3 linked regions of the Ovis aries genome follow. Each later gene encodes a partner of the first gene's protein in a complex. Links are inferred from orthologs where the notes say so. Each region holds a gene or a part of one and is shown in the gene's direction. Other genes may lie near its edges. The genes, in order: EIF4E, EIF4G1 and EIF4EBP2.

Region 1 (10,013 bases):
GATAAAATGAGGTATCATCAACACATGTAAACTGCTTTATATGATGCCTGGACATAGAAATTTTTTCTATTGCATTATTAGTCCTGAGGCCCGACTTTGGTGAAGTTTTAAAAATCAGACTTGGGTTTTTCCCAAATATTGATTAGCAATCTACCTGCAAATCATCAAGGAGCTAATATTTTGCTAGTGGAGACAACAGACAATTAAATAATATTTAGTATAATATTGGGTTTAAAGCAAGGGTTACAAAGTGGTCTGATAAAGCAGTGCAAGGGGATAAATAGTAATATACTTCTTTCAGGGGACAGCACTGGAACAGAGATCTGAATGCAATAAGGGAAGAAGCTAAGTGACTGTCTCTATCATTAGGTGAATGAGCGTTTATTATGCTGCTTGTTAGCTGCACCCTTTCGGTTCTTAGTCACACTTCTTTATATGGGTAGTGAACTATTTATATACCCATGACTTAGGATGGCAAACAGATTTTACAGGCCAGAAAGGAAGTGCCTGGGCGTCCCATGTCCTTTCAATATCCTTTGAATATTACACATTTCCCATTACTAACATAGTACTTCTTGAATTGTCAAGTTTTGTAATTGAACTTAATATTAAAAGTTCTTCAAAGAGACCTAGGTATTTTGGAAGACCCTGTTGGAGGAAAGCAGCTCTGGTATGGAGGAAAGAATATCTTAGAGTCGAGAGAACTGGGTTTGGATTCCGGCTCACCATTGCCTGGTGGACTTGCCTGTGTCCCCTAACTTTACTGAGTCTGTCTGTCTATAAGATGGAGGTGATAACGTTTAATTATGCTTAAAGACAGTGAGTGGGGTTTTTTTTAAGCATATTATTTTCAGCATATTATACTATACAAAAAGTAGAAATAAGAAATTTATATTCATGTGATATTTTATCATGGTAATTATAGTTAACATAGAGTGCTTACTATGTTCTAAGAACTATTCTAAGCATGTTAATGGGTTAATTTATTTCTCACCCTGATCATGCAAGGTAAGTACTGTTATTGCCCCATCTAACTCATGACAAAAAATGAGGCAGAAAGAGACAGATATCTCCATATGGTCACACAGTAAATGGTAGAATGAGGATTATGAACCAAGAAAATTTGATATTGGAGCTCATGCTCACAAATACTAAACTGATTGTAATTTAAAAGATTATTCATCATGTTAGAAGCCATCATTTTAGGTCCTTCCTAAAGTAATATCATTGTAGAAAGTGACAATAGCAATTTAAAAAATAGACTGTCAAGTATAACCAAGTTTGAGAGTGAAAAAAGTGAAAAAAAAAGTGAAATGGTTTTTTAAAAAGTGTTAACTAGAGGTTGATTTAGATTATCTCTAAAATTAATACCCAACATTAAAATATTAAGAATCATTTACTTTATTATGGAATTTCATATCTTCAGTCTCAAAACCTACTCATTTTAAGACAAATGATTGCTTTGTACTAGTCAGAGTCTAAGAAAGGGATCTAATTTAAATAGATTGTCTAAAATTCCAAGGCCTATTTAAAAAAATTTCTAGACCGTGTTGCAGTAATATTTTTGAGGGATTGATCATGGCAGATGTGATTAGTTTGAACCAGAGTTAAACAGTGCCCAGTAAAACAATGACTTTGGTTATCTAGAAAATCTAAATAAAATTTGAATGACAAAATACATGATAAAAATGATGTGGTTTTTATTATGTATTTTATTAAATTATTTAAAGTCTTTTTACCAAGAGTTAAATCTATAAAGACTAGTAATGTATCAGCTTCAGGAATATACTATGCAAAGAAAAGATCATGACTAATTACAGATGTTAAATGATAACCAAATTATTCCAGGCTTTTAAAACAATAATTTCACTTCACTTCACCATGATACTGTGCTGGGTCATTAGTTATGTATTAATTATATAACCCCAATAAGTATAAAAGTATTTTTTTTATAAAAGCATTTTAATACCATATCCCATAATAAATATCCTGTTATTATGCTTTAAGTACAAGCACAAAAATGTACTTTTTCTGTGGATTAAAAGATAAAGTATAAAATTTCTGCTCTGTGTATTTCAGGTTGCTAAAACAAAACAACCATATAGATACATAGATTAAAAACCTAATCACCAAGTCTTCGACATGGCAGAATCTGATGGTAATATTAGGCAGACATATGAATGTGCCATAAAACACATGCAACAAAGCTCATACAAAATAGAAATTAGCTACAAAGAATAGGAGTATATACACATATATTGTAGAAGCACTAAGATGACTGATAAAAGTGAGGTGTGTTTTATCAAGAGCAAAGCTAATAAAATGGAAGCTATCATTAAACACAAGTTTTAAAAACATCACTGGTTTTCAATCCCACATGGGGACTAAAATCTCTTTAAATTTTAAATCTCTTTTGTTCTGTTATCTTGTAGCACTGGGAAAATAATACATCTATACTATATAGTCAGAGCGGGTAACAGGATACTAATTTTAAACAACAGAAAGTAAGACTGAGATCGACTGTAATTACTTTGCATAGGCTAAAAGTAGATAGTCTGTAAATAGAAATCCATATTATCCATTTATTTTTTCAGAATTCTACTTTAAACCTACTAAAGCTAAACTGACTGGTCAGAAGCTTCCATTAACTGTCTCTGACATCCAGGTAAACCAAAGCATATGAACAGGCCATGGTTTTTGAGTTCTTATTACAGCCTCAATTATGTGTTAGTCAACTCAAGCAACCATTATGTACTCAATAATAGGTATGACACAGTTAAGAACATCAGCAACACAGCAAGCAGGCAGGCACAGGCAACCTGCTTTTACTTATTTTTCTGGTGTGAACATTCTTAAAAAGCATGGAAAGTATCATTAAACCTTAGAGTAGCACTCTACTAGATATCTTTACCTCTATTTATAACCGTGCAGAGTAACACTGTCTTGAGAAATGACAGCACAGTATCCTACATGGAAAGGAAATGTAGGATGCCATAGTGGGGATGAATTTCTAATTGCCAGTGATTATTGTGAATATAACAATATTTTCCTGAACATTAAAGTCTCTGTGGAGGGTAGCTACAGTTAAAAAGTGGGGGGGGGGGGTCTTGTCTTGAAACTTTAAAATTGCGTTGGTGTATACGATAATGAAACAAAATACACAAAAGAAAAAAATTTTAATTGTTTAAAAAAAAAAAAACATTAAGGGAAGCCGCTGATCCTTAGGAAGACACGAGGTTGCTTATAGTGAAGCATTTATAGAGTCCGATGCATCTTCAAAACTGGTTACAATCACTAGCACAGCAAACCCTTGTGAGGTAAGTGTATTATTACCTGTGGTTCATAAATGAAAAAGCTGAGGCACTGACTAAGTCGCTTGCCTAACGAGAATGAGTCAACGTCAAGAGTCATAGTTGACCTAGCCTAACGACTCCTGACGGTCAGTCCAGGGCTTAGTCAGCGGGGGCCGGAGTGGCTTCCCTGGCTGGCACCTGGACTTGGGCTGTTTCCGTTCACGTTAAAGCAGAACAGTGGAAGCGAGAGGACACAACTTGCAAATCATTTTTACTTCCACTCAAGATTTAACCCTGAAGTCTTAATTTCAGGAGTTGAAACAGGAAAAGCTGTTGGGTGCATTCCCCCTCCCCCAACCTGTGGCAAGTGGGTACTGTGGGCGGTTCCGCCACCCCCTTTTCGCAGTGATGGCAATGAGTGACCACCAGTGTTAGCGGAGCCAAGGGACCGGGGAGGGTTGAATAATAGTTGCTCAAACAACTATTCTCCATCACCAACTCTTTTTAAAACTAAGAGAAAATGGTGAGAAGTCAAAAGAAAATTAAATAAACACACAGGCAACTCGTCCTAGGACCTCAACTAAGCAAATGAAGCCTTATTGAGCGTGCTGAGCCTTCGGTTCTCAACCTTCCGGGGAAGATGGGAGGACAGGGCGACAAAGGGCACAGTAGGCATGCCTGGCAGTAAGTGCGACAGCATCTATCCAGGCGGAAGACCAGAGGACTGAAAACCACCCTGCAGAACGCAAGTGTCCGCCGCTCCGAGAACCGCGAACCGTACCCACCGACCACGTGAACAGTTCTTTTTTTTTTTTTTAACTTCTTTGCCTAAAAGAAAAAAAAAAAAAGGAGGGAGCGTGAGAGACTTCACTTCCCAGAAGCCTCTCGTTAAACACGCAGCCGCAGTCTTGCGCAGGCGCCGCCAGGGCCAAACGGATACGTCCGTCACGTGAACAGTAGCCGGCCAATCCGGTTTGAATCTCCTTTTTTTCCTCTCACCCCCCCTCCCCCTTCAGGAGCGGTTGTGCGATCAGATCGATCTAAGATGGCGACTGTGGAACCGGTGAGTATTGCCTTTGGCCCCCACCCCCACCGGTCCCCGCGCTCGGTCTCCCTTCGGACTGGGGGACCCCGCGGGACGGCGTTCCCGGCGCGCATGCTACCCCTTGCCGCCCCCTCCCCCTCTTCTTGGGCCTGACCTCCCCGCGGACAACTGGGGGCGCCCCGGAGGTTGGCCGCTACGGCGTGTGGAGCACACGTTCTGGTGGGGGCCCGAGAGCTCGGGGAGAGGAGTGGGGGAGGGGCGGCGCGGCGCCTCCGGCGGAGCCTTGAGGGGGCCGCGAGGATGGAGGGTGTTCGGGGCCCTGGGCTAGGGTTGTGGGAATTGTGTTTTCGGGATAGGAGGGCGCGGAGCCGGCTCCGAGCAGGCGTCGGGATCCGCAGGGAGGGTGGGCGGCGAGCCGGCCTGGAATGAGATGGAGGAGGGCGCCCCGGGGCAGCCTTTCCCTCTCTCCCTCCCGAGCCTCTCTCTAGCCCAGGGACTCGGGTGCGGCGCGCGTGCCGGGGTTCATTAGACCCGTGGGCCGGGAGGCCGGTGGGCTCGCGTTGCCAGAAGGTGGGTTGGGCGGGAGTGGTGCCGCGGCACGCGCGGAGAAGCTTCGACCTCGCCGAGGGGAGCCGAGAGGGGCGAGCGCATGTTACTCCAGCGCGTCGGAGAGTTGCCGGGGTTGGCGGCAGGGGAGGCGAGAAAGGTTTGGAGTGGGGAGGCGAACCCCGTGCTGCGCGGTAAACCTCTGAGAGGAGGATGAAAGTTGGGGGGTGGTTAGAAGGGGGACCACATTGTCCTCGCCCCTCCGTGCTCGAGACCGGGCTGTCATGGAGGAGGGAAGGGGGAGGAGCGAGGCCTACGGAGAGCTGCTGCCGGTCTGGTTGCCGGCCGGACCGGCTGCATTTCACACGCGCCTGTCTTCCATTCATTCATCTTCGCGCTGTGCGCACGCCTCAGAGAATGGGACTGGGTCTAGATCCGTCTGTTCTTCCGAGTCTTTATCGTCTGGAAGATATCACAGAGCAGTTTATTGGAAATAGAAACTTAACTTTTCGAGTTAATTTTCCATTTGATTTTCTCTTTATCCGTTCTACTGGTTTCCCTCCCAATTTAGGTACCATCTTAAACTTCTCTGAAGCAAGTTGATCCCAGAGCACAAAGTTACCGCTCAAAGGAGAGAGTATCTTTGTCATAGTTTGGTTTTGCCTGCACTGGCTCACTAAAACTTCCAGGCTTATGTTGCCGTTTTAGGAATGTCGCCATCTAAGTGATAATTTAGAGGCGTAATACATTCACCAGAAAACCTTTGATATCTGGAACTAATTCCAGACCTTCGTTGCCAGATGTTTTCGTATATCTTTAATGATAGTTTGTGATTTTGATTATGGCTTCCCAATTTGCTTTGACTCTTTAAAGACTTCTATAACTACTTTGAAAACGAGGTATAGAAAGGTCTGTAGAATACAAAAATGCTTATTTTTCATTACATTGATGTGAACTATCTTGAGCTTCCTGCCAGAGTTCAAGGCAGAAAGCTTGATTATTTCTTTTATTGGTACCAGTATGCGTTTATTTTCCTGGAAATTAGATTGACTACAAAACTCTTAAGTTGCTGATACAATTAACTGATTTTTAGAACATTGATGTTAAATAGCTAAACGATAAATATGTAAAACCTTAAACTTAAAACCTTTTAATGGGTTATGGTATTACTTACAACTCTTTTGCCCTCTGTACTAGCATCAGTTAAAAGCTTACAGCTGGTAATAAGGGCAAGGCTAAACCCTCTAAACTAAACAATAATGTATTCTCTGAAGTTTCAGTAATATTTATTTAGGTCCTTTGGGTTTTGCAAATCTATGCTATTTTGTTTCAACAGCAGGGAGCAAAACTACAAAGTGTTGAAGGAGTGTTTTCAGTCAGTAAATATTTATAGCCCCTGATATGTTTAGGAGTTTGTACCAGGTGCTCTTGAAGATACAAATTATACAAAATGGGATTCTATACCTTGTTCAGTGTAAACTTTTAGAAGCTTAATTTCTAGTGATCCTGGTCAGTGATACAGTATAGTATTCCTTCTAGTTGCTGACCCTTGGGAGATTTGAACACTGCATTTAAATTTGGGGAGTAGGGAACATAAAAATCTGGTTTGTGAAAGTCGAGAGCCAGATTGAAACTATAGCAGTTTGAGGATGCTTGTAAAATACTTTAAAGGGTTCATTTTTAGTGTAAAAAATGCGGTTTTTTGTTTGTTTGTTTTGTTTTTAGTATTTTTAATGTACCCTTGTCCACAGATTAGTCGTTTAGAATTCTTTTTGGCAATTTTAAATAGTGGGATTTTTTTTTTCAAGCAACTGAATAGTATTTGTTGCAATTGAAGTATCCCTGTAAAAGCCTACAAAAAAGTGTGTTTATTCATTGCTATTTCAGTTAGCTTGTGAGTTTCCTTATTCCTTTTTTGCTGGGCATAATCATAAGCACCTAAAGACTCATAGGTTTTTCCTGCTTGTCCCACCTTGGTTGGCATTTGGGGAATTTTTGTCTCTGAAAGTTATGTAAAATATCAGTCATTGTCAATTTGATATTATGTGATTATCAAGTGTGTGTATGTGAGATCAGTTAAATTAAGATGTGTCTTAATGAATCTAAAAAACATGATAAAAATGAACTTACTTTCAAAACAGGAATGGACTCGCAGACATAGAAAACAAATTTTTGGTTACCAAAGGGGAAAGGGAGGAGGATGGGATAAATTTGGGATTAACAGAAACACACCATGATATATAAAATAGAGCACAGGGACCTGCTTTATAACACAGGGAACTATATTCGGTGCCTTGTAATAACTATAACGAAAAAGAAGGTAAATGTATGTGTGTATAGATTTAAAACTTTGCCAGTATACCTCAAATTAGCACAGCTTTGTAAATCAACTATACTTAAAAAAAAAACACCCAGGACAGAACACAGTTCAGTTCAGTTGCTCAGTCGTTTTGGACTCTTTGCCAGCCCATGAATCGCAGCACCTCAGGCCTCCCTGTCCATCACCAACTCCCGGAGTTCACTGAGACTCCCATCCATCGAGTCAGTGATGCCATCCAGCTATGTCATCCTCGGTCGTCCCCTTCTGCCCCCAATCCCTCCTAGCATCAGAGACTTTTCCAATGAGTCAACTCTTTGCATGAGGTGGCCAAAGTACTGGAGTTTCAGCTTTAGCATCATTCCTTCCAAAGAAATCCCAGGGCTGATCTCCTTCAGAAAGGACTGGTTGGATCTCCTTGCAGTCCAAGGGACTCTCAAGAGTCTTCTCCAACACCACAGTTCAAAAGCACGACAGAACACAGGGACACACGAAAGGATACTGAATGATAATAAATTTGTTAAGAAGGTTGATAGGCAAATTAAAGGAACCATTTATCTTAACAGGTACTGTGGTAAAACTTTGAACAATACTCTCCTGTTACTCTGTTGGCATTTGAATTGTGGCCAGGTCAGAATTAGAGCTTGTGAGTAGATCAAAGTTAGATTTAATATCAGTTGATAAAAATGGCAGGCCATCTTGCCTCCAGTGGGACATTGTTTTGGTAGCTTTTATCTTCATTCTGTTTTCTTCATTATTGGGTTGTTTTTTGACTTGTAATTCTTTTAAAGATAAGATATTTTTATTTCTTTAGTTAAACTGAAGGTATATAATTTTACTTGCTTTTACATTGTATCTTTTCAATTTTTTTAAACTATACCTTTGTTTCATAGGTGGAATCCACTTGGACAGTCAGCTAATCTAATGTTTCCTTTTTATCCCTTAGAAACATGTTTTGCAGAGAGTTTATAAAAAGTAAATCTTAAATTCATGTGGCAAATATGTTATATAAGGTGATGTTTTTTGCTAAACAAAGACTATTGACAAGCAGATCTTGCATATTAATATGGGTGTTTTTGTTTTAAGAAAACGTAGTGTTATCAGAGTTCATTCATCAGTCAAAGAAACTTGGTTCTAGTGTTTATATTTTACATTTTACTTTGTTTTTTTACTCTGAATTAATATTATGCCTAATTATTTGATTTAGAGAAGTCCAGCTTAGAAACAGACATAGTTTGCACTCCAAAGTTGCAGAGAATAAGATGTTTAATGAATTATGTAACCATAATCCAGTTTGGATAGAAAACTCTACACACACAAAAAATGTTTGTTAAGTATTCTATTTAATTTATATAAGATTAAGAATATAGAAGTACCTACAGTCCTGGATGTAACAAGGAACCTGTGAAGTAGTAGTTATAGCAATGGTAATTTTTTCCTCTCCTTCTCTGCTTCTATTGGAAATTTTCTTGCTGTTTTGGAGTTGCTCCATCTTTGTCATAGAGAATTTTTTGAGAAGTGGAAATGAGCCTGAATTTACAGTCTAATTTTAATATCTATGTGACCTTGAAATTTCTAAGGCTAGCTGAAAAATGGGAATACGATAGTGATTTTGATTTTCAAATGCAATGCTCAGAGATGACAATTTGTCAGTTACGAAGAACTAGATAAAGTTAATATTCCGTCGATGTGTTGCATGCAGGTGTATTCATGCATGGGTATGCTTACCTTTTCATCTCTGCTACGAGATTCACGTAGCTGACTTTATTTTTCTTTTCTTTGCCATTATTCAGAAATACAAAACTTATTACCCATTCAGTATCTTCTCTTTACAGTAAAAATCAGCAGTGTTCTCTTTAAAAGTTCCTATATGTGTCTAGAGAAAAAAGATGACTTTTGTCTCTTAAGTACTATGTAGTCATTTCTAGTCTCTTACTTCTAGAACCTGAGAATGTGATCAGAAAAATAAGATTTTTTTCCCCCCAGTTGGAGCTTTTGATACATCTTTCATAGAAACAGTGGGAAGCTGTAGTTTTTGCTCACTGTGTTCACTAAGAGTCTGTGGAATTATAACAGATCTAACCAGCCTTGCATTTCCAGGGCTACAGATTTAAAGTTCTAAGCAACTGACTTAATAGAAATGTTCTTTTAAATAATAGTCTGTAATAGTGAACTTTAACTTAAGCAATCTTTATAGGTTAATAGTTAACACAGCACTTACTGTATGTCAGGCATCTTACTAAGTGCTTTACGTATATTCATTTAATTTTTTAGCAGCCTTATGAGGTAGGTATTATTCTTATTTCGCAGATAAGGAAACCAAGGCACGGAGAGATGAAGTAACTTTGTGTGACTAACTTCCCCAAGATCGCACAGCTAAATAAGTGGTGGGGTGGAGTTCAAACTAAAGCAGCCAAGTTCCAGAGTGTGTTAAACGTGACACTGTCTTTCCAACAGGCATATAATGCGTGTTCCTTGTGTGACTTGGAATGATTAATTTGATAAACTTAATATTTTGCTACAGCTCTAAAAGAAAATATGTGGACGTTTGTTTTTAGTTTCTGTTGTACCACAGTGTTTGCTGATATCCAAAGTATAGAATCTTAAGGAAATAGCAACGTGTCCAAAGTCTGAGGACTAAACAAGTTAGTTACACTGTTCATTCTTCAGTAAATGGTCTAGGACTGACTTTGTGGGTTGATTTCTAAAGTAAGGGAATGATCTCTTCCCTTCTCCCCCTTCTGATTTGATTTCTGGACCTTGTCAATTCAAATGATTTGATAGGTGAAATATTTTGCTAGTTGAAACAGTA
Region 2 (9,834 bases), on another chromosome or scaffold:
CTGAATTAGGGCAGTAGAAATGGGGAGGGCAGAAGAATTTTTAAATACAAAATCAGCAGGACTGGATTCTAATTCAAACACCAATAGCACCTGATGTCTAATGAGATGTAACATGGACAGGAAGGAATGTAAGATGAAATCCAAATTTCCTGCCTGGGCACTAATCACTGAGAAAGAATACACGAGCAAGACACATTTAGGGGCAAAAGGCGGACACTATCCAAGTAGGGAGAAATGACACATTTCTATCTAGGCATGCATAATTTAAGATGCCTAGGGTGATTAGGCAGGCTACAGTCCATGGGGGTCTCAGAGAGTCAGACACAACTGACTAAGCACACAGCAGTGTTTTAGGTAGTACCTTATTCTGACGGGAGTTTAAGATTTAAAAGAAAAATCTTAAAAGTATTGAACTTGTTAAAATAATTGCTTCTGTTTTATGTTTAGGCTTTTTAAAAAAATTTTTACTGTGTTTTTGGATGTTTGTATAAAGAATATTGAGAAGGGATCTATCATTGTTGACTTTTTAAATACTCTTTAAATTAAATTTATTTTTAATTTAAGGATAATTGCTTTACAGCATTGTGTTGATTTCTACCAAAAATCATGTTTCGTTTTGTTGGCTGTGAGGTACGGGGGAATCTTAGCTCCCCAACCAGGAAAGAACCCACACCCCTTGCACGGGAAGGTGAAGTCTTAACCACGGGACCACCAGGGAAGTCCCCTGCCTGAAGTTTCAGAGTGATTTCTGAGCTAAGAAGGAATCGTCATGTAAGCAGTAATTGATTTTTATTTATTAGTTTTCGTAGAAAGAGAAATGAGAACAGAGAAGGGAGGCAGCCATATACCATAATGTACAGAACTCCAAGAATGTAACAGAGAACAGCTATATGTACATTTTCATTCTCCTTATGGTTCTTCCTGTGTGTCTATTTTTGCTCTTCTCTCTTTGGAGCTTAAGTTACTCTGATACAGTTCAGTTCAGTTCACTTAAGTTGCTCAGTAGTGTCCGATTCTTTGCGACACCATGAACTGCAGCACGCCAGGCCTCCCTGTCCATCACCAACTCCCGGAGTTCACTCAGACTCATGACCATCAAGTCGGTGATGCCATCCAGCCATCTCATCCTCTGTCATCCCGTTCTCCTCCTGCCCCCAATCCCTCCCAGCATCAGAGTCTTTTCCAATGAGTTAACTCTTCGCATCAGGTGGCCAAAGTACTGGAGTTTCAGCTTTAGCATCATTCCTTCCAAAGAAATGCCAGGGCTGACCTCCTTCAGAATGGACTGGTTAGATCTCCTTGCAGTCCAAGGGAGTCTCAAGAGTCTTTTTCAACACCACAGTTCAAAAGCGTCAATTCTTTGGTGCTCAGCTTTTTCACAGTCCAACTCTCACATCCATACATGACTACTGGAAAAACCATAGCCTTGACTAGATGGACCTTTGTTGGCAAAGTAATGTCTCTGCTTTTGAATATGCTATCTAGGTTGGTCATAACTTTCCTTCCAAGGAGTAAGCGTCTTTTAATTTCATGGCTGCAATCACCATCTGCAGTGATTTTGGTGCCCCAAAAAATAAAGTCTGACACTGTTTCCACTGCTTCCCCATCTATTTCCCACAAAGTGATGGGACCAGATGCCATGATCTTCATTCTCTGACTGTTGAGCTTTAAGCCAACTTTTTCACTCTCCTCTTTCACTTTCATCAAGAGGCTTTTTAGTTCCTCTTCACTTTCTGCCATAAGGGTGGTGTCATCTGCATATCTGAGGTGATTGATATTTCTCCCAGCAATCTTGATTCCAGCTTGTGCTTCTTCCAGCCCAGCGTTTCTCATGATGTACTCTGCATAGAAGTTAAATAAGCAGGGTGACAATATACAGCCTTGACGTACTCCTTTTCCTATTTGGAACCAGGCTGTTGTTCCATGTCCAGTTCTAACTGTTGCTTCCTGACCTGCATACAAGTTTCTCAAGAGGCAGGTCACATGGTCTGGTATTCCCATCTCTCTCAGAATTTTCCACAGTTTATTGTGATCCACACAGTCAAAGGCTTTGGCATAGTCAATAAAGTAGAAATAGATATTTTTCTGGAATTCTCTTGCTTTCTCAATGATCCAGCAGATGTTGGCAATTTGATCTCTGGTTCCTCTGCCTTTTCTAAAACCAGCTGGAACATCTGGAATTTCATGGTTCATGTATTGCTGAAGCCTGGCTTGGAGAATTTTGAGCATTACTTTACTAGCGTGTGAGATGAGTACAATTGTGCAGTAGTTTGAGCATTCTTTGGCATTGCCTTTCTTTGGGATTGGAATGAAAACTGACCTTTTCCAGTCTTGTGGCCATTGCTGAGTTTTCCAAATTTGCTGGCATATTGAGTGCAGCACTTTCACAGCATCATTCAGGATTTGAAATAGCTCAACTGGAATTCCATCACCTCCACTAGCTTTGTTTTTAGTGATGCTTTCTAAGGCCCACTTGACTTCACATTCCAGGATGTCTGGCTCTAGGTGAGTGATCACACCATTGTCATCTGGGTCATGAAGATCTTTTTTGTACAGTTCTTCTGTGTATTCTTGCCACCTCTTCTTAATATCTTCTGCTTCTGTTAGGTCCATACCATTTCTGTCCTTTATCGGGCCCATCTTTGCATGAAATGTTCTCTTGGTATCTCTAATTTTCTTGAAGAGATCTCTAGTCTTTTCCATTCTATTGTTTTCCTCAATGCAATTTCTTTGCATTGATCATTGAGGAAGGCTTTCTTATCTCTCCTTGCTATTCTTTGGAACTCTGCATTCAGATGCTTATATCCTTTCTTTTCTCTTTTGCTTTTCACTTCTCTTCTTTTCACAGCTATTTGTAAGGCCTCCTCAGACAGTCACTTTGCTTTTTTGCATTTATTTTCCAATGGGGATAATAATACAATGCATAGTAATACAATACATTTTGTAGGCTATTGTGAAGATTAACTGAAATCAGAAAGGTCATCATTGGTGCAACATGTTTTCTGAGATTATATGTGTTTGAATACAAAGAGTTGGGTGGGAAGGAGAGAGAGAAAATAGCTTTTGCTAGGTACCTAGGCACAGTTTTAAGCACTTTCACAAGAACTAACTTTTTTAAACCTCACAATCCAATAGCGGGAAAGCAGGGTGGGTAAAAGCTCAGAATTGAGGCAGACTGCATAGTTTCAAATACTCCCATTTTACAACAAGTATTAAGTAGGGAGGTAGTAGGTACATCGCTGGGAGAGTAAGCAGAGAAATTTGGATTAAAACCAGGCTGACTCTAAGCAGTTTTGTCTTTAGTATGTCCCTTCAGGCAGTTCAAAATTTTTTGGCTGCCAGGGAGAGGTCTTGGATTTACTTATCCCATCACTATTTGAACTTTCCATGACTGATTTTAGTCCCTCCCTGGGAGTGGCTGATCTTTGTAAAAGACAAATCTAACTCCCTACTTGCTGCTGCTGCTAAGTCGCTTCAGTGTCCGACTCTGTGCGACCCCATAGATGGCAGCCCACCAGGCTCCCCTGTCCCTGGGATTCTCCAGGCAAGAGTACTGGAGTGAGTTGCCATTTCCTTCTCCAATGCATGAAAGTGAAAAGTCAAAGTGAAGTCGCTCAGTCGTGTCTGACTCTTCGCGACCCCATGGACTGCAGCCAACCAGGCTCCTCCGTCCATGGGATTTTTCAGGCAAGAGTACTGAAGTGGGGTGCCATTGCCTTACTCCCTACTTAGAATATTTCAATTCTTTTAGCGTTATCACCCAGTTTAATAGTTCTATATCTAATTTACATTATTTTCAAAGGCTACCTAATTTGTCTTTTTTTCCGTTTTTGTCCATGGTTTACTTGGCGGGACCGAGTCTTTAATGTCAGTATTCTCAACCCTCAGCCAGCACTTCGCCTAGCACTCAGTATGCACTCAATAAATGCTTGCTCAAAGTATGAATGAACCAAAGAATCGCGGAACACAGACGCGGAGACGGGTCGGCCTGGGAGTTCCAAAGTTCGGGAGGGGACAAGAGGCGGGCAGTGGCTGTCACATGATAAGGCGGGGCAAATCCCATGTGCTCCGCGGCGCCGGGCGCTGCTCCGCCCTCTGCGCCGGTCACGTGGGGCTGCCGGCTGCGCCTGCGGAGAAGCGGTGGCCGCCGAGCGGGATCCGTGCGGGGAGCCGGAAATGGTTGTGGACTACGTCTGTGCGGCTGCGTGGGGCTCGGCCGCGCGGACTGAAGGAGACTGAAGGTAAAGCCGCCATGTCCGGGCCCGACCCGGCCCCCCCACCCCCTCCCCCCGCATCCGCCGCCATCCGGGCCGGGATCGGCTACCCTGCGCCGCCGCCCCAGCGCCCTGGCCCCGCGGCCCAAGCCCGGGCCCCGGCCCGCCAGGGCCCGATCCCCGGCCCACGTGTGCCCGGCCTGGCTCGGCCTGGCTGCTGGGTGGGGGTGGGGGAGCGCGGGGCCGGAATATGCGGTCCCCGCAGGCCGGGAGGGCGCCGGGTTTCCCGGCCGCTAAGTGCCACCTCGGCCCGACCCGAGGAGGCCTCGCGGGCGCAGGCACCGCGGCTCCCGGCCCGCCGCCCCCTCCCCCCTTTGCGGCCCGGCCGCCGGGAAGTGACACGTTGTTCTTTGGCACTGGCCGGCGCTGCGCAGGGAGGGCGCAGGGGAGGGAGGCGGCGGCGGCGGGCAGGGAGGAGCCCCCGGCCCCGCCCGCCCTCCGGGCCGACCCTCACTTGCTTCAGACCGGCTCTTCTTCGGCCGCCGCCCGCCTGGCCTTTTACGGCCCGACTGCCGCCTTTCCTGGCCTCCACTGCCGGGCGGCGGCAGGCCTCGCCTCTGGCCCCGCGTGGGTGCCTCCGCTGCTACCCACGGCAGGCGTGCCTCGTGTGCCCCTGGGCCAGGCCCCGAACCCGGTGTCCCCGGGTGGGGGGTGGGGACACCACGGCCGAAGCTGCTAGCTCCGTTTGTGATCCGGGAGCCTGGTGCCAGCGAGACCTGGAATTTCCGGTCTGGTTGGTCTTGGGCCCCGCGGAGCCAGGTTGATACCCCTCACCTCCCAACCCCAGGCCCTCGGATGCCCAGAACCTGTAGGCCGCACCGTGGATTTGTTCTTAACCGAGGGGGTGAGTGAAGGGCTGTTTCAGCAGATCGAGGGGTGGTTGGAGGTGGTGAGGGTTTGACGGAGTGTTGGTGGGGACATAAGCTGGGTCTTTAATGTTCCTTTACCCCCTTGGCGCCTCCCGGGCTCATTGTGGGACCCAGCCCTTGCTTCAACCCCTCCCCCACTCCATTTGCCTTAAGTTTGTGTCCCTTTCCTTTTCTGAGCCTCACTCTTTCCCAACAGGTGCTGGGGGGACCCTGATGTGGCACCAAATGAAATGAACAAAGCTCCACAGCCCACAGGCCCCCCACCTGCCCCATCCCCTGGACTCCCACAGGTAATTAGGGAGGAATTAACAGGGACTGGGGTGGGGGTTGGGGAGACCAGGCAGCCGGGTCAGGAACAGGTTCCAACCTCTGGATTTTCCCACCCCCTTCTGTGTCAGGGCAAAGTGCAGCTTCCTGCTGCCAAATTGAGACAGGGCCCCCAGGCTGTTCCCAGGGGCTGTCTTGGGGAGGGTATATGTGGACTGTTGAGGCTCTTGCCACGGATCTGCTCCCCTTCATCAGCTTGAGTTTCTGCACCACCTGGGTTTCCCCTCTTGCTGAAATCTGGTCTCCCCCCTTCAGCCAGCGTTTCCCCCGGGGCAGACAGCACCGGTGGTGTTCAGTACGCCTCAAGCGACACAAATGAACACGCCTTCTCAGCCCCGCCAGGTGAGGGGCTGTGGGGAGGGGAGTAGGGGGCCTGGGTGGGAGCCATGTAAAGCTTAGGCCAGTTTGGGCCTAGGATGGAAACTCTGGAGGCCCTGTACCTGCCCCAGTTTCCTGACAGTTGCTATGTGTTCTTTCATGCGGCTCTGCACTTTGCACTGTTGATTACTCACGGTGGCTGGCCCCTCGGAGAGTATGTTGTTGGTGGGGATGGCATTGCTAGGGGTTCTGGTGCCTTGAGAACTGGGGGCAGCGCTTTGGGCCCTGCTGCCAACTCCTGCTTTCCTATTTCCTCCTTTTACTAGGAGGTCGCCATTGCTCCGTTCCTCATCCCTTCTTTCTCTTTGGACTGTGGGAAGAGAAACATTCCAGCTGGTTCTTACCTTTCTCTATTCCTAAATTCTTCCTCACTAAATGGGAGCGGATTCTTGTCCTGCCTCCTCATTTTTTTCCCCCTCATCACCTTGGGGATAATTCTCTTCTTTCCTGTCCCCATGTGCTCTCAGGGAGGATTCAGGTCTCTGCAGGTAATACCCCTTTGCTAATCCTGGACTCTCTCCTGGTCTCACCCTTACCCTCCTCCCTAGTCAGGGGCTAGACGCAGGGACTGGGGTTCCTCAGGGTGGGGACTTGTTGGTTGTCCAGGTCCTCAGTCTGAGGCTGACCAGTGCATGTTAGGGGCTAAATCTTGCATAGTGCCTATCTGGGAACTGGGAAAGTTGCATGTTAGCGGTTAGCTCCTCAGGACGTTAGGATGGTGCAGTGCATGCTGGGGAGTATGCTGCTGAAAAAGGCTTTACTTAGGCATGATGCATCTGGGTGTTAGGAAGCCTCTGCTAAAGGATAGCGTGGAGGAGGTGACATGAGTATGCATGGCAGGGAGGGAGTAAATATACCGAGTGCAAAGTGTGTACCTGAGTTTGGAGGGCACACGTGAGTTCAAGAGGCCACTTAACCATCAGTTGGTCAAGTGAGTCTTGGCAGTGTTGGTCCCATGTTCCAAAGCCCCTGGTACTTCTCTCCAGACTAGAGACATAGTGGAATGGCCATTTTGCTGTCCACTTCCTCCCCTGCCCAGTGCCAACTGCCTTCCTCCCTCCTGACAGCACTTCTACCCTAGCCGGGCCCAGCCCCCGAGCAGTGCAGCCTCCCGAGTGCAGAGTGCAGCCCCTGCCCGCCCTGGCCCAGCTGCCCATGTCTACCCTGCTGGATCCCAAGTAATGATGATCCCTTCCCAGATCTCCTACCCAGCCTCCCAGGGGGCCTACTACATCCCTGGACAGGTGAGGCTGGAGGCTTGGGTACTGAAGCCACACAACCTTGTCCCCGCTCCCCCACCTCCCCCAACCCGGATCCTCCAGTCCCATCTCTCCTCTAGAGGTGGGACTTTCTTCTGGTCATTGCCCAGAGTTGGCTTGTCCTGTCTTGCCCTGCATTCTCTTTGTAGTCTGATGTGGTATTCATAGCTCCCTCAACTCCTTCTCTCCCCTCCTTATCCCCCATCCCCTCCATCAGGGCCGTTCCACATATGTTGTCCCGACACAGCAGTATCCTGTGCAGCCGGGAGCCCCAAGCTTCTACCCAGGTGCAAGCCCTACAGAGTTTGGGACCTACGGTAAGCGGGGTCTGAAGTCGGAGAGTGAGTCCCAGGGAGCATTTAAACTTGCCTAATTTCTAGGACCCTTCCCAGGCCTGTCTCTTGCTCTAAAAATGATAGCGGTAGTCAGGATTGGTGCTTAATATGTAACTGGTATTGGGGGGTGGTGGGGAGAGGATTTTACACTATTGTTGAGAGTTGTAGAATCCTCCCCACATCAAGGAATATAGTTCAGGTGCTAGTTTGAGGACCTGTCAGTAAATATTCCCTGACACTTGTTCCATGGTTGGGGGGAGCCCATGTAACATGGATTTGGGAGGTTTCTGTAGCTGTTTTTCATTTATATTCTAGGAAAGGATTAGTCTGTTCTTTATGGCAGTGGTTTCCAAAATTTTTTGACCATCAGGAAAAATTTTGAGTATGTACTTCTAATACGTGTATGTTTTTGTTTGTTATACGTATGCATAATTTAAACAAATAACAATGTTGCTTGTCAAAAACAAGTGGAGGTTATGGATGATATTAAAGAATGTATCCCATTTTGGAGACCATTGCTTTAAGGAATTTTCCTCATCCTGGGCCTGGTTCATAATGTTACTTTTTGTTTCCTTGCCCCTTAGCAGAGGGCTGGAGACTGGAATTGGACTCAGGTTGAATGGAACAGGGTTGGCAAATCTGTTTTTATCATTCCCAGCCAAAGACCTGATTCTGTTTCAGGTTAAGTAGTTGCTGCTCTCTAAGAGTATATGTGTGTGTTTGCTGGGGGTGGGATGCATCCATGTTACCTTACGGGGTAGAAGAGGAACAGACATAGTAGCTGGTGTGTGGTGGGGAAGGAGTGCCTGCCTACAAGGGGTGTGTGTGTCAGTGTTAGGAATTCTTGTAAACGCAGTTCAGACTGGTTCCCCAGCTTTGACAGACACCTAATTCCCTTGGGGAGGAGGAGGGTGGGGCAGGGTAAGGGGCCGGCTATGGGTGATGAGAGGTTCTCCGGGGGCTGGGAGGCATTTGTGCTCAAGCAGGCATTTGTATGTGGTTGGGCCCTGACCCTGCCACTATTCTTCCTTTCCTTGTCCCCCCCTCCCCCAAGCTGGCGCTTACTACCCAGCGCAGGGTGTGCAGCAGTTTCCCACTGGTGTGGCTCCCCCACCTGTTCTGATGAACCAGCCACCCCAGATTGCTCCCAAGAGGGAGCGGAAGACGGTGAGTAGCAGCAAGGGGTTGTAGGACAGCTGGGAAAGCAAGGATCAAGGTCAGGCACTTTGTGGGTCAGGGAGCAGGAAGTTGAGGGAGATCTTCACCTGAGAGTAGGCAGAGAATGGGGATGTGCGAAATGCTCAGGTTGTTCTTAAGGTACTACGATTTCAGTATGGAAGAAGCTCACTAGAAGATTGAAGTGTCTGGTAGGGAAATTCTTGAGAGACCTGGGTTCTCTGTCCATAATATCTAAGTTTGGTTTTGGGTTTCTGGTGGCTTGCCTTGAAAATGGTTTGTTTTCTGTGTCCCCACCCCCCAGTCCTGGAAGCTCTTGAGGCCTCCGCCCCTGCTCAGTCCTCAAGCCCTGGGCGTGGTGCCCAGAATAGGGTGCCAGGGCTGGGGAAGCCGCTGAGTCACCCTGGCTCCACCCACTGGATCTGGGCCCTGCCCCCAGAGATCAGGCAGACTAGCCACAAGTGAGCCGGATGGGTGCTAGATGGGGGTCCTGGGCCCCCAGGCATGCAGCCACTTCTTGGGGACTGGTGGGGCAGGGATAAGGGAGGGAGGGGCATTGTGATGTACGTGTCTGCTCTGTGAGGTCAAGAGTGTCTTAGGGGTGGGGGCCAGGGCAGAGACTACAAGAGCTGCCGGATGGGTTGACAGTAGAACTCACAGGGTTTCTGGCACCCACCCACCTGCTTCCCAGTAGGGGGTGGGGGGGTTGGCTTGGAGTCTCAGGAGCGGGGCAGGGTGGAGAGGTGGGCTGCTCCTGTTTCCCACTTATCCCGTAGCTTTTTTTCCCCAGATCCGAATTCGAGACCCAAACCAAGGAGGGAAGGATATCACGGAGGAGATCATGTCTGGGGCCCGCACTGCCTCCACACCCACCCCTCCCCAGGTACTGTCTGTCCTTTGAGTGATGCCCTGACTGGGATGGCTGTTCTTCCCTGGATTCCCAGGTCCCTTGATCTTTTTCTTCAAATAAGGGATTTATTTCCCTGCTTTCCTGGATTTCTAGGCAGCTAAAGTAGAAATGGCTGTAGCAGGGTTGTGGGACTCTTCAGGGCAAACTTGGTAACCCTTTGTGTTCTGCAGACGGGAGGTGGTCTGGAGCCTCAGGCTAATGGGGAGACACCCCAGGTTGCTGTCGTCGTCCGGCCAGGTAAGTAAGCAGGTGGGGCCTGGCTCTTATGGGGAAAAGGAGTGTTGAAAATGCCAAGGAAGTAGAGTG
Region 3 (9,778 bases), on another chromosome or scaffold:
CTAATCATCATTCCTATCTGCCTAACCGGGCTGAGCCTGACATTTAACCCTCAGAAGAGCACTCTGTGAATGCGGGACCCCTCCTATTTTTCAGATGAGGGAACACGTTGAGACTCATGGTCACATGGCAAGCAGGTGGGAGGCCCAGCACTTGAACCAGTGTACATGTGAGGCCACAGTGGAGCGTTCCCAACCACAACGAGAGGCTAGAGAATTTTCAGAGACACAGGTGATGTCAGGCAAGTTAGCCTCTCTGAATGTGCCTGTGTGGGCTCAGTCCCTAAGTCGTGTCTGACTCTTTGTGACCCCATGGACTGTAGCCCGCTGGGCTCCTCTGTCGGTTGGATTTCCCAGGCAAAAATACTGGAGTGGGTTGCCATGTCCTCCCATGGGGCTTCTTCCCAACCCTGGGATCCAACCCGCATCTGTTGTCTCCTACATTGGCAGGTGGGTTCTGAGGCTTCTTCCTTATCTGTAAAACAGACATAATAATATCCGCCTTGTACGGAAGTTGGCAGTATTAGAGATAAGATCTCTAGAAGGCCTAGAACAGCAGGTGACTCAGCCTCACTGTCTATAAAAGTTATTTATGATTATTATCACCATTTGTACACATTCGGTATTTTATGGGTTAGGAGCTCAAGAACGACTACTGCTCATCCCCCCATGAGTTCAGCGAATATGACAATAAAGAACGGGTACCCAGGGGGCTTCCCTGGTGGCTCAGAGGTTAAAGTGTCTGTCTGCAATGCAGGAGACCTGGGTTCGATCCCTGGGTCGGGAAGATCCCCTGGAGAAGGAAACGGCAACCCACTCCAGTATTCTTGCCTGGAGAATCCCATGGATGGAGGAGCCTGGTAGGCTACAGTTGACGGAGTCGCAAAGAGTCAGACACAACTGAGCGAGTTCACTTCAGCCAGGGGGCATCTTACCCTCTTTATGATGCGGGAGGCCTGTGGGCACAGTAAGAAGCACATAGAATGGCCAACCAGAAGCTCAGGAAGTCATAACCTCTTTCAGTCACAGTTTCTTTATCTGTGAAATGTAAGAAGAATAATATAGATAATAATAATGAAAAGAATAATAAGTAGGCTGCCTCCATCACAGGGCTGTGGCTCAGCTTAAGTGAGATAATGGTCTGAAAGTGCTTGTTAAAGTGGAAAAGTGTTATCTAAAGATAAGGGGCTATTATCCCTATGATGATACAGATCGGGTGTGGGTGGCCTCAATACAGAGGGCGGGGGAAAAGAGCCTCCCTCTGCCCCAGGAAAGATGAAACCAGAGAGAAAGGTGGTAGCAGGTAGGTACAGGGGCGTTAAAAGGAATGAATCTGGGGAAGGCCTGCTAGCTAAACACTGGAATAATTGGCTACAGAAGGAGAACCCCTAATTTGGGGACACCCAGGTCACTTCTGTTATTTGAAACCAAGTTATATTAGTTAACATTAACATTTCCAAGAAAGGGCTCTCCAGATGTGGTATATATTGGACATTCTATCCTGGCAGTACATCAGGTATGGATCCAGAGGTCACAATTGCATCAGCAGCTTTCAAATCACCAACTATCTAACCTCATTCAGAGATAAGATTCTGCCCCCAATTCCAAAATTTTTTTCCCCCTCACCAACAGGCAATTCTCCAAGACCAACTGAGTACCCTGTACACTTGGGTCTTGTTTTGTTTTGTTTGTTTAGCTGTACCCCACAGCATGTGGGATCTTAGTTCCCCAACTAGGGATCATACCCCCACCCCTAGCATTGGGAGCATGGAGTCTTAACCACTAGACCACCAAGCAAGTCCCTATTTTTTTTACACTTGTTTTTTGTTTGGGTTGGTACCCTATAATTCAACTTAATTCTAACACTACCTGGAGATGGCATCAGATGCCACAGATTAAGGGCTCCCCGCCCCCCAGCTTGAGATGCCAATCTAAAGTCCCGGCTGTCATCTGTGTTTCTGACCAACCTTCTATAGATCAGCAGTTCCAGTTACCCACTCCTTGGATTTGATTAATTTGCTAGAGTGGCTCACAGAACTCAGAGAAACTTGCTATTTACTAGACCACTGGTTTACTATAAAAGGACATAGCTCAGACAGCCAGGTGTATAACTAGTGAGAAGCTGCTGTGAAACGCAGGGAACCCAGCCTGGCACTCTGTGGTGAACTAGAGGAGTGGAGGGAGATAGGAGGGAGGCTGAACAGGGACGGGGTGTATATAATCAGGACTGATTTGCATTGATGTATAGCAGAGACCACCACAGCATTGTAAAGCAAGTATCCTCCAATAAGAAAAAAAAAATACACTATTAAAAACAGAATAGCCAGATGGAAGAGATGTATAGGGCAAAGTATGAGGAAAGGAAGTGGAGCTTCCATGCTTTTTCTGGGCACGTCACTCTCCTCAAGTCTCCATACGTTCACCAACCTGGAAGCTCTTTGAGCCTCTCTCTGTGCATCGTTTTTAGATCTTTATGGAAGCTTCATTACACAGGCATAATTGATTAGCTCATTGGCCATTGGTGATTGAACTCACTCTCCAGCCCTTGCCCTCCCCAGAGGTCAGAGAGGTGACAATGAAAGTTCTAGTGCTCCAAATCACCTGGCTGGTTTCACTGGTGACCAGTTCTCCTTCTTGGGTGACCTAAGGGCATTTCAAAAGTCACATTGACATCACAAAAGACACCTAGATCACTCTCATCCCTCAGGAAGTCTTAATGGTCTTAGGAGCTCTGTGCTAGGAACAGGGACTGAGAACAAATACATATTTCCTAATATAAACCACAATATTCTTAATATAAGAGATAATACACAGCCTGTACAGTTGAGGCCGCCACCCAAGACCCTCCTAATTCCCCATGGTAGGTTCTGGGAAAGGGAACAACAGATATTTTCCCTTTAAATTCTTATCTGATAAACTGTGGTATATCCATAAATGGAACACTACTCAGCCACAAGAAGGAGTGGATTACTGATATTGCAACACAGTGTGCTATGTGAAGAAGCCAAGTGTAAAACAATACACACAGTGTGATTTCATTTCTATAAAGTTTTAGAACAGGCAAAACTAACCTGTAGCGATAGACAGCAGATCAGTGATTCTCTCAGGCTGAGGCTTGGGGTGTGAAGTGATGACTGTAAAGGGAACTTTTGAGTGTGAGGAAATGTCGCAGATTTTCCGTGTGGTGGTGTTTACAAGGATGTAAAATAAACATTTGTCAAAATTCGTGGACATGCACTTTTGAAAGAGGTACACATAACCCAGCTGATAAACACAACTTCTCAGCTGAAAAGGTCCCTCCATCGCCAAACTGCCCACAACTGTGTCTAATGTTTCTTTCTCAGTCTCCACAAAGACTTCTTAAGGTCAATTTAATACCGCAGACCACAGGCTGATTCTGAGCTAGGCTCCAAACTATGAGGGGAGGATGGGCCCAGTCCTTGCCTTTAAAGTAGTCAGTCTTGAAGGGAACCAGAGGCATAAGTAGATAACACTCATGCACAAGGTTGGTACCAGTGACATCAGTGTGCACAGGGCACTACGGGAGCTCCTAGGGCAAAGACCCGACTCTGACAGCACAAGGAAAGTCAAAGCAGGCCAACCCACATGCATGTGTGCTAAGCTGCTTCAGTCATGTGGGACTCTTTGCAACCCTATGGACTGTAGCTTGCCAGGCTCCTCTGCCCATGGGATTCTCCGCAAGAATACTGGAGTGGGTTGCCATGCCCTCCTCCAGGGGATCTTCCCGACTCCAGGATCAAACCCACATGTCTTATGTTTCTGCCATTGGCAGGCAGGCTCTTTACTATCGAGCCACCTGGAAAGCCCAGTGCCACCCACACCAAGTATTAAATAGCAGTCTGGGTTAGGTAGTGAAGGGAAGGTGGGGAGGAGAGCCCCCGTTGCTCCAAGCAGAACATTCACTCCACTGAGCCAGGGGGCCTCTGTCTTGTTTACTGCTATACCTTCTCCGCTAGAAAGTTCCTGACACACACAGTAGGTACTTATTAAAGATTTGTTGAATTAATGTATAATATAAGCAAAGACAGGACAATTCCCTGGTGGTCCACTGGTTAGGACTGGGTGCTTTCACTGCCCGGGTCCAAGTTCAGTCCCTGGTCGGGGAGCTAAGATATCATAAGACGTGTACCTGGACCAAACGAAAACAAAAACAAAGACAGGATCTGCAAACCATGGCCCACAGGACAAATCCAGCTGGTCACCCGTTTTTGTCAATAAAGTCTTACTGGATCCACGCGCATTTATTTACATGTTGTCGAAGGCTGCTTTCTCGCTAGAGCAACAAACGTTGAAAACTTGCCACAGAGACCATAAGGCCTGTAAAGCCTAAAGTATTTACTCTCCGACTTCTTATCGAAACAATTTGTTACCCTTTGAGCACGGTGGCACCATAAACCATTCTGATCGTCTTTTAATACATGCACACTTTCCTTTCATTTAATAATGAACAATTAAAAGTAAAATAACACTTTGCCTCGATATAGGAAACAGAAGTCAACTCAAATAGTGTTGACTGACAATAATAATAAAAATAAAAAGCCCACACAAGTTTTCCAAGCACACCTACGCCCACTTCACAAACACTTGGCGTAGGTTCAGTCCGGTTCGCGTCCCGCCCTCGGGGCATAAGCCCCGCCCCGCCAGCAGCCTTGCGGCTCAGGACCCGCCCTCGTGACGTCACGTCCGGCCGACCAGCTACCCCGACCTCCCTCTGGCTCCCGCCTTCGCCCGCTTCCGGTCGTCGTCGTCGTCGCCGCTGCTGCCGCTGCTCCTGCTGCTGAGGCTGCTGGCGGAGGCCGGAGGATAGGGCGGCGGCGGCGGCGGCGGCTGAGAGGGCGGCGGCGGGAGCGGAGCGGGACGAGGGAGCCAGAGGAAGCGAGCGAGGAGCGAGCGGAGCGCGCCTAGCCCCGCCCGCCCTTCAGCCCGCCTGAGCAGCTGGAGCAGCCCGGGCCCTCAGCCGCCGCCGCCGCCCGCCTGCCCGCCCGCCGGACAAAGCCCGAGAGCCCGCGCCCAGAGCCATGTCCTCGTCCGCCGGCAGCGGCCACCAGCCCAGCCAGAGCCGCGCCATCCCCACCCGCACCGTGCCCATCAGCGACGCCGCGCAGCTACCTCATGACTGTTGCACCACGCCCGGGGGGACGCTCTTCTCCACCACACCGGGAGGTGAGCGTCGGCGCCCGCGCGGCCCGAGCGCGCCCGCGCTAACCTCCGCGGTGTCCCCGCACTTTCCCGCCACGGTCCTTTAACTCAGGGCGTATCCACTCTGGGCCGCTCGGGCCACCCCGGCTCCACCAAAGTCCCTTTCTTGGGGCTTCCCCCGAAACCCGCTAGAGACTGCTTTCGAGAACCTTAACTTCGCGTTCTCTCTCCCGCAACTCTGTTTAGTGCGTGCCTACTCTGGGAACGTGGCTGGCTCTCCTCTCGTGAAAAAAAAAAAGCCCCTGTTCCCGCTTCGTGGCAGGTTTACGCACTCGACCCAGTTTTCTCCTTCCCCCGCCCCTACTCTAGGGCAAATTCGTCTACACTTGGCTTTGCACTCGCTCCGCATTCGCTCTGCCTCTTACGTATAGTGTCTTTGTGCACACTGAAGCTTGATTTTGGAGCTGTCTCCCGGCCTTTTTAGAAAGGAAGTTGGGGCGAGTAGTTTGCTCCTGGGACCCTGCGATGACTTGTTTTGCTGCTTCTAGAACTCCAGGAGGGGGGAGGCTGGAATGCGGAGTTTGGAAGCCTCGCCCAGTGTTATCCTGCTTTGACAGCATTGTTTACTTCGCTGGACGAGGCCCCACGGGTGGGGGGAGTCCCCAGGCTGGCTGAGAAGTGATAAAATCATGCTCAAGTAATAGCCCAGGGAAAGGAGCGCTGGCAGCCTTGAGGGTAGAGTTTTGGTGGCGACGCCTGTGGAGGTAGGTGGAAGACGGGACCCTCCCCGGCGGGACTGCTTCATCCGGGGGAAGGGGCCGTGCAGAACGGGGTCACTGAGCACTGCTTTTCAAAGTGCGACCAAGACTGTTTACAAGGAAGAACACTGGGGTAGAGGTAAAGAGCCTGGAATTAATTGGTCACGGGAAAAGGGAGCTCAAAGGTTGCCTGTCCCCTGACTGGGCTTTCTCCAGAGGGAGAAGACTGGAGAGCGATCTTGAGGGACCTCATGAGGGGAATGGTGCTTCGTTTTTAACTTGGTTACTTAGTTTTTTGATGGTGGCCTCTGGCTAGAGGGTTGGGACTTTGCTGGCAGCCCTTGCTGTCTACGGGATTGCTAGCTTGGTTCCTGTGGGCTGGGCTCACCAGTTGTGCTCCAACCAATCCCTTGCTGTTAGGCCTGGGCCATTTTTTAATCATTGCACAATATCAAGACGGTAGAGTAAGATCTTGCAAACAAGGAATAAGAAATCTGTGGAGAGAGCTCTACAGAGGAATCCACCCAGGCGACTCTAGGGGTGGCGTGGCTGCCTTGGAATACTTTCAAATGATCCAGGCTGGACACGTTCATTGATATATGTGGAGAACTGGGCTTAAGGAAGTTTTAACTTTGTGGAACAGTGGAGTTTCTAGTGAGGTGGCTTACCTCATTGGAGAAACCTCCCTCCTGACCTCATCGGGTCAAGGCCAGCCTCTGAGCACGCCTTTTAATCGTGAAAGATTTGGCAAACCAGGATCTGCTCTCCATAGGTTGTCTTGAACTTGAGCTGACAGCGTTTAAGAAATGGATATTGTTTTCCGAGGTGATGGAAAGAAATTTATAACTTCTTCCAGAATTCCTTGTGAATTCTGTAATGCCTGTGCTTCCAGCAGTTTAGAACCAATGTCATAGTAGCAGATAATTATTTGCGGAAGGAACTAAACTTTTAGCTGTATATTAATCATTATTCCTCTGAGGGAAAAACCTCAGGGGCACCTTTAGGCATATTTGAAACACCCAAGCTTCTATGGTTTTAAAGTAAGGGCATAGTCTTTAAGTGTGCCTTAAAGATACAAGCCTATCTGATAGTCTGAATTAGTTCCTACAGTGTTTGGGAAAGATTCTGCCGGAAATACTGAATCATTTATCCTTCCTCCCTACATACATAATCCTCATCTACTTTCTCAAATATCACTTACCCTGTCCCCAGATGGTTTCTGCTTTTTAATTGCAGATTTAAATACTTAAATCTTAGCTCCTCTGTTACACAGAGCTGTTATTTATTAGTAGAGCACATTGTGATCTTTAAATTTTTAACACAAAGACCTACCTAATATGTTTATAAGATATAGCACTGTTGTGGTTGGATTTAAACACTGTTTTATAGCAGTTACCTCAGTGCCACCTAGATATGCAGTACTTACTGGTTTAATTCCCCCTCCCTTTGGAAAATTTCCAATTTTCTGATGATTTGTTCATTTCTTTTGTTACATTTCCCTCTCTTCTATGTAATTTTCTTTCCCTGAATCATGGTTATTGGTCACCTTTAGGCACCTGAATTGATGTGGTTAGGTATGTATCTTCAGTGAGTTATGTGGGTCCAGGGCAGTGCTTTGCACAAAAGGGGACCACAGACAAAAGTAGGAAATGCAATCTTCACTCAGTGGTCTTAAAATCTTGGTGGTAGAAAAGCTTTTTAGTTCTGAAATGAAAAGCTTATAGAGCCAAGTGCTAAGTTACATATTTCAGACTTGGAAAACATTTAGAAAGTGATAGTAGGCTTGCATTGGAAATCTCTATTTAGTAGGAAGGAAGGGGATTAGAATTTCCTGTCTCAAGCTTCTAGCGTGTCATACACAGGTCAGAGCATTCTAGATAACCGCTGATGTGCTGAATGCCCCGTATGATCAGACTGGGCAGAGACATTGACAACATGATGAACTTGCCATCTCCCCACAGAGGATACAGCTTACCCTTGAAAAGACTTCTCAAAATTGCCTTCTGTGGTTGGAAAATGAGAGTTGGGAAATGAAAACTTTCTGTAACCTCTTACATTTCCCATGTTTTTAGAAGCATACCCTTTTCTCATTATTAAGGAAGAACAAAATTTTTGACCAAGTTCAAAGCAAAACGCCCTTGGGTTTTTATTTTGTTTTGTTTTATCTGCCTTTGGAGGAATAGGGATGACATTTGGCTCATCCTTTGAGAAGCTGCTTCTAGCCTCAATGAAAGGTAAAGTTATTACAGTCTGCTTCACTTTTGTAACAGTCTGGTTAGCTGGAAAGGACCTAATGCTTTCCTTCTATAATTGAGAGAAATTGAGTAACTTGTTAGTGTCATACAGCTAATTAATGTCAGTTGGTAGTCTCAAACTTAGTGTCCTCATTCCTATTCCAGGTTTTTTCTCTGCTGTCTTAAGATGCACATTTTCCTAGGAAAGGAAGTTTGCAAACATTTAAGAAGGCTCTTCTACCTCTGGAATGCCAGATAATGTGATACTTTTTGCTACCTTATTATTTATTTATTTTTTAAATGAGTTTCAAACTGTCTCCTTGTTGAGAGGGTTGTGCTCTGGGGAATGAACAAAGAGACCTCTTTGAGCCTTTCTTCTTGCCTTACTTTTCCTGCCTAACATCCTCCTCAGCTGTGGGAAAGTATGCTGTTGCCTTAACGAGCGCCAGAGGGAACTGTTAGTCTGAAATCTTGTTCACACCCTTGCGCATCCTGTCTGCCAGCTGAAGAGTTGGCTCTAATTGGTTGGTTCCCTGAAGGCCATTGGAAGGGTCTGGGGATAAAGGAGAAGACAGGAAGAAAGGAAAGGAATCCACTTGGTGTGAGCCATAATAAAGTAAGAGTATTTGGGGAGAGTCCTGAGTGTTAATCTAGTTCCTTGGTTGGGAGAAGTGAATAGAGCTCTGTAGATATGGGGAAGGAAGGCCAGTTTCTCACTGTTATAAAGTTTCTAATACAGTGACCTGAGTTTATTCTAGCCAAAAATTTCTGAACCAGCAAATGTACTTGTTTGGCTCTGTAGTTTCAGTTTTTAACTGAAGTGCATGAAAAACGTGTTGAAAGTTGTTCAGTCACTTTGCTTTGTGTTCAAGGAAGATGGCATTTACTTACCTCAGAGTAACAAAAATTAACATGTGTTGTCATTCCAGAGGAGATTTGGCTTTAGTCTCATATTCATCAGCCACCAAAGTGTGTACCAGAAGATGTAGCTCAGTTTTGCGGTGGGTGCACATTTGTGCTGGGTTCGTGTTTGCCGATGAGAGGTTGCCCGGGAAGGCAGCAGCCCTCGGCTGCAGGGTGGGCAGCAGTGTATTGTGTGGAGCAGAGCGCCTCTGCCTGCTCCAGGTGAGACACAACCTGATGAGGGAAGACGGAGCTCACCCAGGCTGGTAGTGCGCAACTCCCTTCTGCTCTCCCAAGGCCTACGGGTGAAACGTGCATCTGTAAGCTGGCACTGCTAGCGTTCTGCAAGGACTTTTTGAGGACTGATGTCTTAAAAATGATTTTATGGGAGGGGTCTTGCATGGTTTGGAGACAACTGTAGGCTTGACTACGTGTGTGTGTGTGTAAAGATCATGTCCTTTCAATTTTTTGATATTCTGTCTTGAGTAAAATTCAGGCTTCGTGGATTTGTATGGACAAAAAATATTTTGGTATGTGGACATGTCATAATCAATAACTAAGGACTGTCAGATTTTCTGTTTTTATATGGACTCAGCCAAAATAATTTTGGGAACTCAAATAGCTACAGTAATGAATATCAGAGATTCTTCACCGCCAATCAGCAGTAAAGACTGTGATGTGATGAAAAAAAGTAAGATTTGCTGATAAGATAGGGTAAAGTTAACG

The links.
Region 2: the proteins of EIF4E (region 1) and EIF4G1 are in contact, whole or in part, in a crystal structure (PDB 5T46), measured with the Homo sapiens proteins. The link is inferred for Ovis aries from reciprocal best matches to the Homo sapiens genes EIF4E and EIF4G1. Residues at the interface, in NP_001959.1 of Homo sapiens: Pro31, Tyr34, Lys36, His37, Pro38, Leu39, Gln40, Phe47, Lys49, Arg61, Leu62, Ile63, Ser64, Val69, Glu70, Trp73, Ala74, Leu75, Tyr76, Asn77, His78, Ile79, Gln80, Leu85, Tyr91, Glu132, Leu135, Ile138, Gly139, Glu140; in NP_937884.2 of Homo sapiens: Glu608, Lys609, Lys610, Arg611, Tyr612, Arg614, Phe616, Leu617, Leu618, Phe620, Gln621, Phe622, Ile623, Phe624, Ala625, Ser626, Met627, Gln628, Lys629, Pro630, Leu633, Pro634, Ile636, Asp638, Val639, Val640, Leu641.
Region 3: the proteins of EIF4E (region 1) and EIF4EBP2 are in contact, whole or in part, in a crystal structure (PDB 3AM7), measured with the Homo sapiens proteins. The link is inferred for Ovis aries from reciprocal best matches to the Homo sapiens genes EIF4E and EIF4EBP2. Residues at the interface, in NP_001959.1 of Homo sapiens: His37, Pro38, Leu39, Gln40, Val69, Trp73, Tyr76, Asn77, Leu131, Glu132, Leu135, Ile138, Gly139, Glu140, Ser141, Asp143, Asp144, Ser146, Asp147, Arg186; in NP_004087.1 of Homo sapiens: Pro47, Thr50, Arg51, Ile52, Ile53, Tyr54, Arg56, Phe58, Leu59, Leu60, Arg62, Arg63, Asn64.

Annotation. Positions count from the first base shown.
Region 1 is NC_056059.1:26,237,735-26,247,747, forward strand, and holds the start of EIF4E (eukaryotic translation initiation factor 4E), read left to right. Parts: upstream 1-4,325; 5' UTR 4,326-4,338; coding exon 4,339-4,356; intron 4,357-10,013. UniProt on the Homo sapiens protein: Acts in the cytoplasm to initiate and regulate protein synthesis and is required in the nucleus for export of a subset of mRNAs from the nucleus to the cytoplasm which promotes processes such as RNA capping, processing and splicing.
Region 2 is NC_056054.1:203,653,533-203,663,366, reverse strand, and holds the start of EIF4G1 (eukaryotic translation initiation factor 4 gamma 1), read left to right. Parts: upstream 1-4,172; 5' UTR 4,173-4,241; intron 4,242-5,061; 5' UTR 5,062-5,118; intron 5,119-5,339; 5' UTR 5,340-5,373; coding exon 5,374-5,433; intron 5,434-5,725; coding exon 5,726-5,812; intron 5,813-6,915; coding exon 6,916-7,092; intron 7,093-7,324; coding exon 7,325-7,424; intron 7,425-7,757; exon of another isoform or gene 7,758-7,824; intron 7,825-8,496; coding exon 8,497-8,609; intron 8,610-9,408; coding exon 9,409-9,501; intron 9,502-9,698; coding exon 9,699-9,765; intron 9,766-9,834.
Region 3 is NC_056078.1:25,808,378-25,818,155, forward strand, and holds the start of EIF4EBP2 (eukaryotic translation initiation factor 4E-binding protein 2), read left to right. Parts: upstream 1-4,744; 5' UTR 4,745-5,036; coding exon 5,037-5,181; intron 5,182-9,778.